3 linked regions of the Oryctolagus cuniculus genome follow. The protein of the gene in region 3 interacts with the protein of the main gene of each other region in a pairwise test. Links are inferred from orthologs where the notes say so. Each region holds a gene or a part of one and is shown on either strand. Other genes may lie near its edges.

Evidence for each region.
Region 1: the proteins of STX16 (region 3) and NAPB interact in binary tests that used the Homo sapiens proteins (3 or more experiments, as listed by UniProt). The two-hybrid records come from large-scale screens. The link is inferred for Oryctolagus cuniculus from reciprocal best matches to the Homo sapiens genes STX16 and NAPB.
Region 2: the proteins of STX16 (region 3) and VAMP5 interact in binary tests that used the Homo sapiens proteins (3 or more experiments, as listed by UniProt). The two-hybrid records come from large-scale screens. The link is inferred for Oryctolagus cuniculus from reciprocal best matches to the Homo sapiens genes STX16 and VAMP5.

What each region holds. Positions count from the first base shown.
Region 1 is NC_091442.1:47,609,024-47,612,596, reverse strand, and holds part of NAPB (beta-soluble NSF attachment protein), read left to right. Parts: intron 1-2,081; coding exon 2,082-2,198; intron 2,199-3,573. UniProt on the Homo sapiens protein: Required for vesicular transport between the endoplasmic reticulum and the Golgi apparatus.
Region 2 is NC_091433.1:117,064,156-117,068,360, forward strand, and holds the start of VAMP5 (vesicle-associated membrane protein 5), read right to left. Parts: upstream 2,874-4,205; 5' UTR 2,749-2,873; coding exon 2,746-2,748; intron 1-2,745. UniProt on the Homo sapiens protein: May participate in trafficking events that are associated with myogenesis, such as myoblast fusion and/or GLUT4 trafficking.
Region 3 is NC_091442.1:3,594,771-3,598,981, reverse strand, and holds the start of STX16 (syntaxin-16), read left to right. Parts: upstream 1-1,357; 5' UTR 1,358-2,072; coding exon 2,073-2,204; intron 2,205-4,211. UniProt on the Homo sapiens protein: SNARE involved in vesicular transport from the late endosomes to the trans-Golgi network.

The sequences.
Region 1 (3,573 bases), about 44 Mb from region 3:
GCAGAGTTGGGATTGGTGGAAGAGGACTATAAAAGAGGAGAGAGACAACATGCACCAGGAACATCTATCTGAAGGAACACCTGTGCAGCCCCCGAGAGAGCCGGCCGGCGGTGTGCCGCTCCCCCGCGGAAGTGGGGAAGGTGGCAGGGGGAACCGCCCTTCCACGGAGGTGGAAGGGACGGTAGCCAACCCGGGAAGAACCAGCAGCAAACCTGGGAAAGGCCGAACAGACAAAAGAACAGTGCAGGGTCCTGTGTCGTTCCTCCACGAAGAGGGGGAGCGACACCTCTGTCTTTGTCTCCTTCTCTCTATCTATAATTCTGCCTCTCAAATAAATAAATTAATCTTTAAGAAAAAAAAAGAGCAATCTTCTCTTTCCTTTTTCTCTGATACCTTTATCACCATTAAGCAAAACAAATAAATAATAGTGTTTTATTTTTGAAAGATTTATTTATTTATTTGAAAGGCAGAGCTACAGAGAGGCAGAGGCAGAGCCCATCAGAGCTGGCCTCAGCCTATCAGCTGTTCAGCCAGCTGGTGTGTTCCTAAACTGCCACTTGGTGGTTGGCTGCTGCCCCAGGTACCCCTGTTGCCTGCCCATTACCCTGGCAGAGTCTCTGCCACTCCTTGGGACCACCTGCCTCTTTACAGGCCAGCCATGGTCTCCAGCTCCAGCCCCATAGCCAGTGTCCACTCTGACTAGCCAGTGCCAACCTTAGTCTCTTGTTAATTGCCATAACAAAATACCTTAGGCTGAGTATTGAGTAAACGGTGAAAACTTGCTGCTCACAGTCTGGGGTCTGGGCGGTCCAAGATCCAGGCGCCAGCAGATGCCGTGTCTGGAAGGGCTGCAGTGCAGGAGCAGGGCCGCGCAGCAGCCGCTTGCGTAAGGGCACGGTCCTCCTCCCAGAGGGCCCCTCCTGATGCCCTCGTCCAGATTGCAGCAGTGCCCATGTCACGCTGCACTCACGTGTTTCCACAGCTGCCTGGGCACTCTTCATTGGAGCAGGAACTGAGTGCAGGTCAGGTAGCCACAGAGTGTGCTCACCCTTGCGTGAAGGTTGAGAAGCCTACGGGGGAGTCAGTGGCTGCCTCTGGGGAGGGCTTGGGACAGGGGTCACAGGTGGAGCTTTGGTGGGATTGGGTGCAGAGTCTGTCCTTTCCCGTTGGGGGTTGCCTGTTCCAGACCTTCCTGAGCTGGAGGCACTTCAGGCGTCCCTACCGCAGGGGACTTGCTGCCGGAGGTGGGGAGGCCCTCCCTGAAAGGCCGGGTGCAGCTTCAGCTGTTGTCCCACTGGCCTCCTGCAGGCAGGACAGGCCTGTCACCATGTTCCCATGATGCCTCTCTCAGGGGTCCCTTCCCTCCCTCTTCGGCCACAGAATCTGTGCCCCTGAGGCAGAGTTTGCTCTGAACAGACTCTGTACATTTGTCACAGGCTGTGTCCCAGCAGGGATCTGGGTATTATTTATAGCCACACCTGTCAGGGTGCTCCAGGAAGAGCACAACTTCTAACCCTGCCTGGTACAGAGCAGGCCATACCTGTGCATAAGTTTCTATCAGGTTTTGCTATACACTAGAGGAAAAACTGAATTTTTAGGCTTTTTTATTTTAAGATTCAAAATTGTAGGCCTCATTTTCAGTCTTTAAGAAACTCTCTCCTTAGAGCCTGTCTTAGCAACTTCAGCAATGACAGCTAAGCACAGTGGACGTGGCAAGATAGAAAAGGAGCCGCCAGCACCCTCGCTCTGGGTGTGTTGCCTTTGCTTAGTCACTTTGCAGCTGGAAGGCCCGAGGGTGTGTCCTTTACGTGTTTGCCGAGTAGAATTGAACAGCCCAGAGCCTGGCTGTTCGGGAGGCTGCGTGCCCAGGGCTGGGACGGGAAGGTCAGGCTGCTGTTGTGTGCACCTGGGTGCACTTGACCAAGGTTCTCAGGTGGGAATGCTGCTTTTTAGTGAGGTCCAGCACCTCAGGTGGGGGCCGCTCTGCAGGAATTCATTAATTACGTATGAATCATTGTGGTCGTTGCTTCTTCTGATTGATTGATTGATTGATTGATTGATTGTGGTCTTCTCTTGTTCAGCTGCAGGAAACGCGTTCTGTCAGGCGGCCAAGCTGCACATGCAGCTGCAGAGCAAGCATGACTCTGCCACCAGCTTTGTGGACGCCGGAAACGCTTACAAAAAGGCAGACCCTCAAGGTGAGGCCGCCGGGCACGGGCACACAGCCGACCGTCGGGGGCGCTGACTGGGCCACCGTGCCTCCCGCCTCCAGGCCCGCGTGGGGTCCCTTCCAGTCCTAGTAGAGGAATTTTTGTGTGTTGAAATGATAGTGACTCTTGGGTAAGGATAGCGATTTTTCCTGGTGGAGACTTCGGAGGCTTCTGTGAACAGAAAACGGTTGAAATGTGTCCTGGTGCATCTCGTATCCTGGTGGTTTAGTTGTCAGCACCGTTTTTCCTCTAAGCCACTTGATGTTGCATTTTGGAAATTTATCTAAGCCTTCTTCCATCTTGACTTTATGAACTATGTTACTGATCACAAAAGGCAACTAAGGGCCCCCTTCCATGTGCCTGGTGGATTTTAGGAGCCAGTCAGTGTGAGATTGTGATATCTGTGGTTCAAAACACCTTTTGTTCACACTGTAGTCATTTTTTTAAATGTTTTTTCCACATATTGGTTTTGAGGAAATAATGGAATTGGATATTTAGCATTTTGCAAGTTTCTTTCTTTTTTAGTTGGAAGTGTGCATTAGCAATTAACAGCATTGATTTCTTCCCTCTGGCACACTGCATGGATAGCACTGCGTCTGTTTTTTTCTTTTAGTGGTACTTTCTGTTTGACACAGAAACCCCAACTTTTATGACTATGTCATATAGAAATAAGATATCTTCGAGGGCTTTTTTTATACACAGATAAGTCACAGTTTATTTCTCTAATGACAAACTGGACACAGACCGTGTGAGCAGTGGGAGTAGCCAGAGGGACTCACAGTGTGTCCACCTGTTAGCATACAATACAGGCGTCACAATGCCTGGTGGAAGAGACTCTTCCCGGGACCCAGTCAGCATTCGCGTGGTCATGATACACCGCGCGATACCAAGGGTTGTGTGACCTTGATTGCAGAAAACACACCACACACTTTGGGAGGAAAGGTGCGTCCGCTGCGATGGCGGGCTTCTGTGCAAGCGGGGACAGGCTGCCGTTCTGGTCGTTGTCTATTTGTAAAGTGCAGCGGCGAGTCCACTCTTTAAAATACAGTTTGGGAGGAGATTGCTTTTCATCTTTGCTGATCTGTTTATCTTCATGATTCTTCGGTCAGGCCTTTTCACATCGCTGCCTCTTTCAAACCAAAAGCAGTTGCCCTGGAGCCGTCAGCCATGTGCAGCATTATACATACCAGCGTTTTGGGTCAGGGCTGTGTGCTGGCTCCCCACTTTGGGAAGTAGCGTTGGCACTCGCTGGGGTTCTCCCCTTCCTCTGTAGATGTGTTGGGACAGGACAGGCAGCACCCCGGACGTGGGACGCTGGCTCTGCTGCACTTGTTCCAGTGCTCTGGCCTTCTGGCCGCACGAG
Region 2 (4,205 bases), on a different chromosome or scaffold from region 3:
CTGTGCCGATCCGAAGCCAGGAGCCAGGTGCCTCTTCCTGGTCTCCCATGTGGGAGCCAGGAGCTTCCTCCAGATCATCCTATGTGGGTGCAGGGGCCCAAGCACTTGGGCCATCTTCTGCTTTCCCAGGCCATAGCAGAGAGCTGGATCAGAAGAAGGGCAGCCGGGACTAGAATTGGCACCCATATGGGATGCCGGCGCCGCAGGCGGAGGATTAACCTACTGTGCCACGGAGCCAGGCCTCAGTTTGACATCTTGAGCAGTAATAGCAGCCACCGTTCATTCAGCACGTGCCCTGAGCTAGGCACTGCGCTGCTGGCTGTTCATTTGTTCCATCTCCATCTGATGTATCCCTCACACCAGTCCACTGAAGACAGCATTACTATCCCAGCTTTACAGGAAACTTTGGGACAGAGATGTTAAATCACCAGTCACGGTCAGAGGGAACAGAAGCTCTGGGAGTTGAACCAACATAGATTCCGGGGATCAGCATCTCAACCCCTGTGGTAAATTAGGTGCAGGTAAAGGGAGGTTCAGTGCTTTAGCTGGCCGGCTGAAGACCACCACACCTTTCAATGCTTGTGTGCATATGAGGGAGGCCTGCGGCTCCAAACACAAAGTCTTTGGAGAGAGGCCCATTTATAAGATTAACTCAAGTAATTACTCATTCACCTCTGTCTTTCCCGTACTGCTTTGCTCCTCCCTGATCCCCTGTGCCTGTCATCACAGCTGGCACAAAGGAAATGCCCATGAAATTATTGCTGAATGAATGAGTCACAGAAGAGAAAAGTAGAAAAAGAAGAAGGATCGGGTAGGAAAAGGTGAGGGGGAAAAGGAAGTGAAAGAGTTTCGGAAAAAGAAAGGGACAGGAGTGAAAGAAGGGATGGGAGTATGAGGCTGGGAGACAGCAGGCTGGGGGAGACAGATCAACACAGTCAGCCCTCCGCATGTTCTCCATCTGTGGGTCTGACTACCACAGACCGGAAATATTTTGTAAAAATGGCATCTGGGCGCCGCTACTATGACGTAGCAGGTTAAGCAGCCATCTATAGTGCCAGCATCCCATATGATTACCGGTTGGAGTCTTGACTGCTCCACTTCTGATCCAGCTCCTTGCTAATAGCCTGGGAAAGCAGCAGGAGGTGGCCCAAGTCCTTGGGCCCCTGCACCCATGTGGGAGACCCAGAGGAAGCTCCTGGCTCCTGGCCATTGCAGCCATTTAGGAAGTGAATTAGCAAATGGAAGATTCTCTCTCTCTCTCTCTAACTCTGCCTTTCAAATAAATAAAATAAATAAATCTTTAAAAAAATTACATCTATAGAAACATGTACAGATTTTTTGACTTGTCATATTATTCCCTAAACAATAGTATAAAGCATTGTATTAGGTATCCTGAGTAATCTAGAGATGACTTAAGTCTACAGGGGAATGTGCACAGATTCTATACAAACACCAGGTCATTTTGTAAAAGCGACTGGCGCCTCTGCAGACTCTGGTGTCCATGAGTGTCCTGGAACCAATCCCCGGCGTATATCAACGGGCGACTGTGTATCTTCTTCAGACTCTAATGCTCTATTTGTTCAGGTCCTGAAGCTTTTCAGTTTCCCCCAACAAATTATCCTGGCCTCAGCCTTCATTTCAGGAGTTTCCTCTTCAGCTGGGAAGCTAGGGGTCACTTAAAAGCCCACCCCTAGCCCTGCCAGGTCCCTCATCCTGCACGCTCAGAAGTGGACTCTGGGCTCTATTCTCAGGGCCCCGCTCAGTTTCCTGGCATGGCCTCTGAGTTCAGTGCTACCTTCCTGCTCCACTTCCTCTTCCTGCCTGGTTTCCCTGGGGACCAGGCCATGCATCAGGACCCCTAGCCAGGCCACATCCATCACTCCTCTGCCAACTTCTCCAAGGCAGAACCTTAAAGCACCAAGCCTGCTTCCTGCCTGGCTCACCTTCCCACAGACCTCGGGGCAGGGGAATAGTGGGGAGGGGAGTGTGCTGGCACCAGCTGTCCCTAACATCTCAGCTTTGGCAAGACTGGACAAAGCCAGAGACTGTAGCCAGAGCGGGGGTGACTCAACCCAGGAATATGTCACTAGGTAGAGGTTAGGAAGGGATCGGGCCATACTCTGATAACTTCAATGAACTTTTACATAAACACTTTTCTTCCCCGAGGGAGGGGGAGTGTCTGTCCTCCTCCACCCTGCCACGGGACTGGAACCACTAGCCATCCGCTCAGGTTTCCAGCTCCAGGGCCAGGCTTGGCTCCTACCGCCTCGGGGAAGGGCTGAAGAGGTCATCGCATTACCTACCACTCCTTAGCAGTGAGTTGAGTGCCAGGCGGGTCTCGGCCATTGCACCCAACAAGGCAGCTATTGGTGACCCCACTTCTCGGATGCGGAAAAGGAGACTCGGGGAGGTTAAGTGACTTGCCAGGGGTCACAGAACCGGGATCCCAACTCGGAGTCCTACTCCAAAGCGGCGCTCCCAGCTACTTGGCTCCAGAAGAAAGGCAAGCTCGAGCCCCGCTCACCGCTCACCACGCGCTGCGCGGGGCAGCCCCACGGGGCGCACGCCCCCCTCTCCCTCCCGGGCTGCGAGCGCGGCCGGGGGAGTCTGGCCCGGGTCCTGCTCGCAGCCGCCAGTCACCTCGTCGGGTCCGAGCCCACGCCCCTGGTCTCGGACCTGTGATGCGTGGTCTGACCCCTGCGCTGGCCCTGGGTCCCTTGCCCGCCCGCCCCGCCGGGGGCTCACCATCGCCGCCGCTGCCGCCGCCTCGCCCGCGCCCGGCTGCTCTGCCCGTGGAGCGGCAGCGGTGCCAGCGGCCTGGGAGGAAGCGGGACGGGGCGGGGCCGGCCGGCGGGGGCGGGGGGCGCGCCTTCCGCGAGCCGAGAGAGGCGACGGGGACCAAGACAAACCGAAAGCGGCCAGCGACAGCGACCCAGGTCAGTGGGGGCGCCTCCTGCCGGGCCGCCGGCGCCCGACTTGCAATGACACCCCAACCTGGTCAGCTACTGTGCTTCCGGGCGCCAGCCTGCAGGTTGAATGCAGTTCAGAGCCCAGTGGGTGAGATGGGCATATGGAGCCGGTCCTGGAACCCTCTTTAGTGCTGCATCTGACACCCTGTAGGTGAGCTAGGGAAGTGTCATCCGTTCATTCAACAAGCATCTGTAGAGTGTCCTTGTCAGGCGCTGGCGGCCCTGAGCAAGCCAGGTAGGGTCTCAGTGGTTGCATCTCACCCCAAACCAAAGCTGACACATAAAAGTTTTGGAACTAGAGAAGTGATGCTTGCACAATATTCTTCCTTTTTAAATTATTGTTTTTTTTTAAAGATTTATTTATTTATTTGAAAGTCAGAGTTACAGAAGAGAGGCAGAGAGAGAGAGAAAGACATCTTCCATCTGCTGGTTCACTCCCTAAATGGCCACAACAGCTGGGGCTGTGCCAGGCCGAAGCCAGGAGCCAGGTGCTTCTTCCAGGTCTCCCACATGGGTGCAGGGGCCCAAGGACTTGGGCCATCTTCCACTGTGTTTACCAGGCGCATAAGCAGGGAGCTGGATTGCAAGTGGAGCAGCCGGGACTCAAACCAGCCCATGTGGGATGCTGGCGCTGCAAACATCGGCTTTACCCTCTACAACACAACACTGGATCCTTAGATTATTAATTGACTATTTGAAAGCCAGAGCAATAGAAAGAGATCTCTGATCAGCTGGTTCACTCCCTACATGGCCACAATGGCTGGGGCTGAGCCAAGCCAAAGTCAGGAACCCGGAACTAGATCTAGGTCCCCCATGTGAGTGGCAAGGACCCAGCTACTTGAGCCCTTATCCCCCTCCCCATGTTGCCCAGGGTCTGCATTAATAGGAAGCTGGAATTGGAAGCACAGCCAGGACTCAGAGCCAGGTACCCTGACAACGGGATGCAGGCATCCCAAATAACATTTTTTTTTTAAAGATTCATTTATTTATTTGAAAGGCAGAGTTAACAGAGGTGGGGGTGGGGAAGGGTCTTCCATCTGCTGGTTTACTCCTCAAATGGCTGCAACAGAAGGAGCTGGGCCTATCAGGAACCAGGAGCTTCTAGGTCTCCCACGCAGGGGCAGGGACCCAAGTACTTAGCCAAGCAGCGTTTTAACCACTGCACGACATTCTGAATACAATACCTGTCTCTGAATTGTACGTGTTGAAATGTTATACTCTAAGTCCTGTGAATCT
Region 3 (4,211 bases):
AGGCTGAGGCCAGGAGGCCGGGGCCCCCTGGACGGGGGAGGTGGGCCCCAGCCCCAGCTCACCGGCTGACCGCTGCGCCTCGGCCTGGGGAACCACACATACTTCTCGCAGCGCTTGCGCCACGCCCGGGGCTCCCCGAATTGCCTGCTCTGCCTCCGGGGACGCTGTCCCCGTGCCCGGCAACCCCCAGCCCCGCAGCCGCGGCTGCTCGGGTGGCGGCGTCCTGCCAGGGCGCACGTGGCCGGCTCCCGCGCTCGGAGCTCGCCCTGCCCGGCTCGCCGGCGCGCTCAGCTCCCTCGTTCCCGCATTGTGCAGTCAGAAACCCTTTTCGCTCTGCTTCGAGAGCCTGCGGGGCGCTTTCCCCTGCCGAGGAAACGCACGTGGGTGGGGTCCGGGGCGCCCCCTGCGTGAGCCCAGGGAACGGACACGTGTGCGCCAGGCGCGGTCCACGCGGGGCACGAGGGCACCCGGCGCGGCGAGGCTCGGGTGTGGACCCCCCTGGCGACGCCAGCCCGCAGCCCCGGGAGCCCCGCGGGCCCCAGAACGCGGGACCCCGGGCCGAGGGCGCGGGGCGCGGGGCGCGGGGCCGGGGCCCGCTCAGCGCACACGGCGGTGTTCGGGGCGGTGGGTGACAGAGTTTTCGGGTGACTCTCCCCCTGGGGAGTCCACAGCCCCGCAGTGGCCCCTGCGGAGAGCGGCGGCTGGGGAGCGCGGGCGACCCCCGCGACCCCCGCCTGCCGCTGGCGGCGCCGCCCGGGCGACCTGGACGCCCGGAGCTCCCGCTTCACAATTTTTTCCTTTTTTTTTCCCCCCCTCTCCTGGTTGTTTTTCAGATACATCTTTTTTTTTTTTTTTTTTTTTCAGAGTTGAAAAAAAAAAGCCCTCCACAACAGAACAGCGCGAGCGCGAGCCGCCGCCCGCAGCGAGCGTGCTCGGCCTGCAGAGGCCGGCGCCTCCCGCCGCCCCCGCCCCCGCGCCCGCGCCGCGCCGCGCGGCTGTGCTCTGCTGGTGCCCAAGTTCGCCTGCCCAGGAACTTGGCACTCGCCATTGCGGGGCCACGGCCCTGGGCAGCGGCCTGCAGCTCGGGGGCCACGCGCCCCGGGCTGAGCGCTGCCCCCCGGGCCCGCTCCCAGTGCCTGAGCCCCGCGGGGGCCGGGAAAACGGGGTGCCCCGGCCATGCCCCGGGAGAGGGCGGAGCGCGCCCGCGCCCGCGCCCGCGCCCGCGCCCGGGTGTGGGCAGGGAGCTCCCGCGCCCGGAACGTTGCGAGCAAGGCTTGCGAGCGTCGCAGGGGGGCACTCGCGAGGGACGGACAGGAAGAGGGCCAGGGGGGACGCCAGAGCCCGGGACCACGGCACGGAAGCGGCCCGGGGCTGAGCTCGCAGTCAGATCCGGGGATGGAGGGAGCTGGAGGAGAGGAGTGAGGAGGCCGGGGAGGGTGGCCCTGCTGTCCTCCTGGAGGCCAGCGGCCTCCTCGCGGCGGGGGAGCAGGCCGCGCAGGAAGGAGAGGGGTCAGGAGGTCGCCGAGCCGCAGCAGGCTCAGCGCAGGCCGAGAAGGGAGCTGCAGGCGCTGTGTAGCCGAGGGCTGGGGTTGGCCAAGGAGGGCCGAGGCCGGGCCTCTGGCGGGGGCAGCGAGGCAGGGCCCGGCCCCGGGGCGCGGCCTAGACGCCGGAGCGCGCGGCCAGGGGCAGCCCGGGGGTCAAAGGCCGTTGGGGGTCTCGGGGTCTCAGGGAGTCGAGGGAGGCAGGGGGCTTCAGGTGCTGCCAGTCCCGAGCCGGATTGGCGAGTTATGCGCTTGTAGATCCAGGGTTGGATTGGGGTGGGGGTCTCAGGGACGGCGGCTGGCCAGGCGAGGATTGGGGGGATTCAAGTGCTTGGAGATCGAAGCCAGGTCTTGGGTAGGGGGAGTCAGACAATTGGCAAGCCTAGGCGGTTATCTGGGGAGGGGTCTTCGCGCCTCGTCGGCTGGAGGCCTGCGGCCTGGCCCAGGGAGGCCGCTGGCGCGAGGGCGGGCCGGCTGGGCCGGGCCTGGAGGCGGGCGGGGGGCCCTGAGCGGGGTCACACAGGGTGAGCCATGGCCACCAGGCGTTTAACCGACGCTTTCTTGTTGTTGCGGAATAATTCCATCCAAAACCGGCAGCTGTTAGCCGAGCAAGTGAGTAGTCACACCACCTCCAGCCCTCTGCATTCACGTAGCATTGCTGCGGTGAGTCTCCCGGGCACGCGCGCCGCGCGCCCCCGCGCCCCGCCCGCCCGCCTGTCTGTCTCTGTCTGTCTCTCTGTCTGTCAGCCGCGCCGACCAGTCGCGAGCGGCCCCGGCCCGGCCAGGGGGCGTCGCCTTCGCCGGGCCCCGCCCCCGCCGACGGCCGGGCCCCGCCCCCGCCCGACGGCCGGGCCTGCGGGAGGCCCGCGGGGCGTGGGGAGGGGCGCGGACGGGGCTCCCCCTCGGGAAGGCCGTGGGCGTGGGCGTGCGGCTGCGAGGAGACGGCCCTGCCCTCAAGGCCCGCGGTTCCTCGGCGCCGCCGGGCTTTGTGCGGGTCGCCCCCTCCCCAGGGCTCGCGGTGCGCGGCCGGAGGCCTCGCGTGTCTCCCCGCACGTCGGAAGGAGGCCCGCCGCGGCGCTGCGTCCGCACCTCCCGCGCGAGCCCGGGCCGAGGCGTGGAGGCCGCGTGAGGAACGCGCGCCGTGGGCTTCGGCGAGGCCCCGGAGCCCGCGGGTTCAGAGCCGAGGCGCGGTGTAGACGGTGCGCCCGGGCCGCGCCGCGAGTCAGATGCTTGTTGGAAGGGATTGCGTGGGCGCATATTTAAACTGCGTGTCTGCACAACCCAGTAGAGCGGGTCGGACTCCGCGCAGCCGCGTGCACGGCCGGGAACGCTGCATCGGGAGCACGGCCCGAGCTCGCGTGGGTTCCTGAAGACTTGGAGGGTGGGCCGCCCCGCCGCTGGGGGCGCGCCCCGTGCCCCTCAGTGTGTTGCAAGCCTTCCTAGATGATCAGAGCCGTCGGATCGCCGAGAATAACCCGGTTTCAAAAGACTGTCTGCCGCCCGCAGCGTCAGTGTGCCTGGTTTTTAGAAGTTAAGTTAGCGGGCGCATTTACGTGTTTTAATATTTTAATGGTGCGCGCCGAGGCACCGCATCCCCAGACCCCAGAGCGCCCGGGGAGCCTGCGGGCGGCTTCCTGCAGAAGCCCTTCTGCCTGTGCACCCGCTGCAGGAAGATGAAAAATCACCAAATCACCGCGAGAGGCCGGAGCACTGGGGCAGAGGGCAGGGCCTGGCCGCTCCGCTCTCCCGGAGCCGGCAGGTGCACGCGTCGCGGCTGTGGAACGTTGGCTGAGTGGCTCCCAGAAGGCCCCGCCGCACTCCCGAGGTTCATCCTGCGGCAGGTCACACAGAAGTCACACCTCGAGTGTGAATGTAGAGCGGCCGTTAGGTGGTAATGCAGCAGTCAGACCAACCGCAGTTGATTACACGTGTGGGTCTTCCTAGCGATGGCACTGAAGGGCTTGGTGGTGTAGTATCAAGAAATCTGTTTCCTATTTAAGTACTTAGCCCCCCTCCAATGAAAGAAGCAAATGAAGCAAGATACTAGTAATTCTTAAGCCTAGTGACAACTATCGCTAGGACATTATATCATTTTACGTACTTTTTCTGTGTGTTTGGAAAATTATAAAAATTTATATTTTGTCACAGTAAAGTAAAACAGCACAATTTGTAAACATCCATGCTAACTTAGGTAATTAACAAGGCAGTAACTAAACTTGAGAATTTAAATTAATTTTAAAACTCATAACTTGAAATTTTAAATTTCCAATTAGAAGAAAAAGCTGTAGAAAGTTGATTTTCGTGTATTTGCTAGACATAGCTAAAAAGAAATCACACCTAAAATAATTGGAAAATTTCTGAAATTTCACATCCTTATTTGAGGAAAACACTGCAAGAATTGGCTGAAAAGTGGCGTGTGTGTCCATCAAACATCTCGGCACAAAACAGCCCTACAGCCATTGCCATTCAAAAAATGAAGGCCCGTTTCTTTTTCTTGTTTGAGGAAAAAACTTGAAATTGGCTTTAGTGATGAGGGTTAGTGTGTCGCTCCGGCCAGTGTGTCAGAAGTAAACACATTCAAGGACAGCCAGCGGAAGTGCAGGCAGCCCCGGCCCGAGGGACCCAGCGGTCACTTGGCCCCACTTTGAGGAGCCCGCACACCTGCCCTCT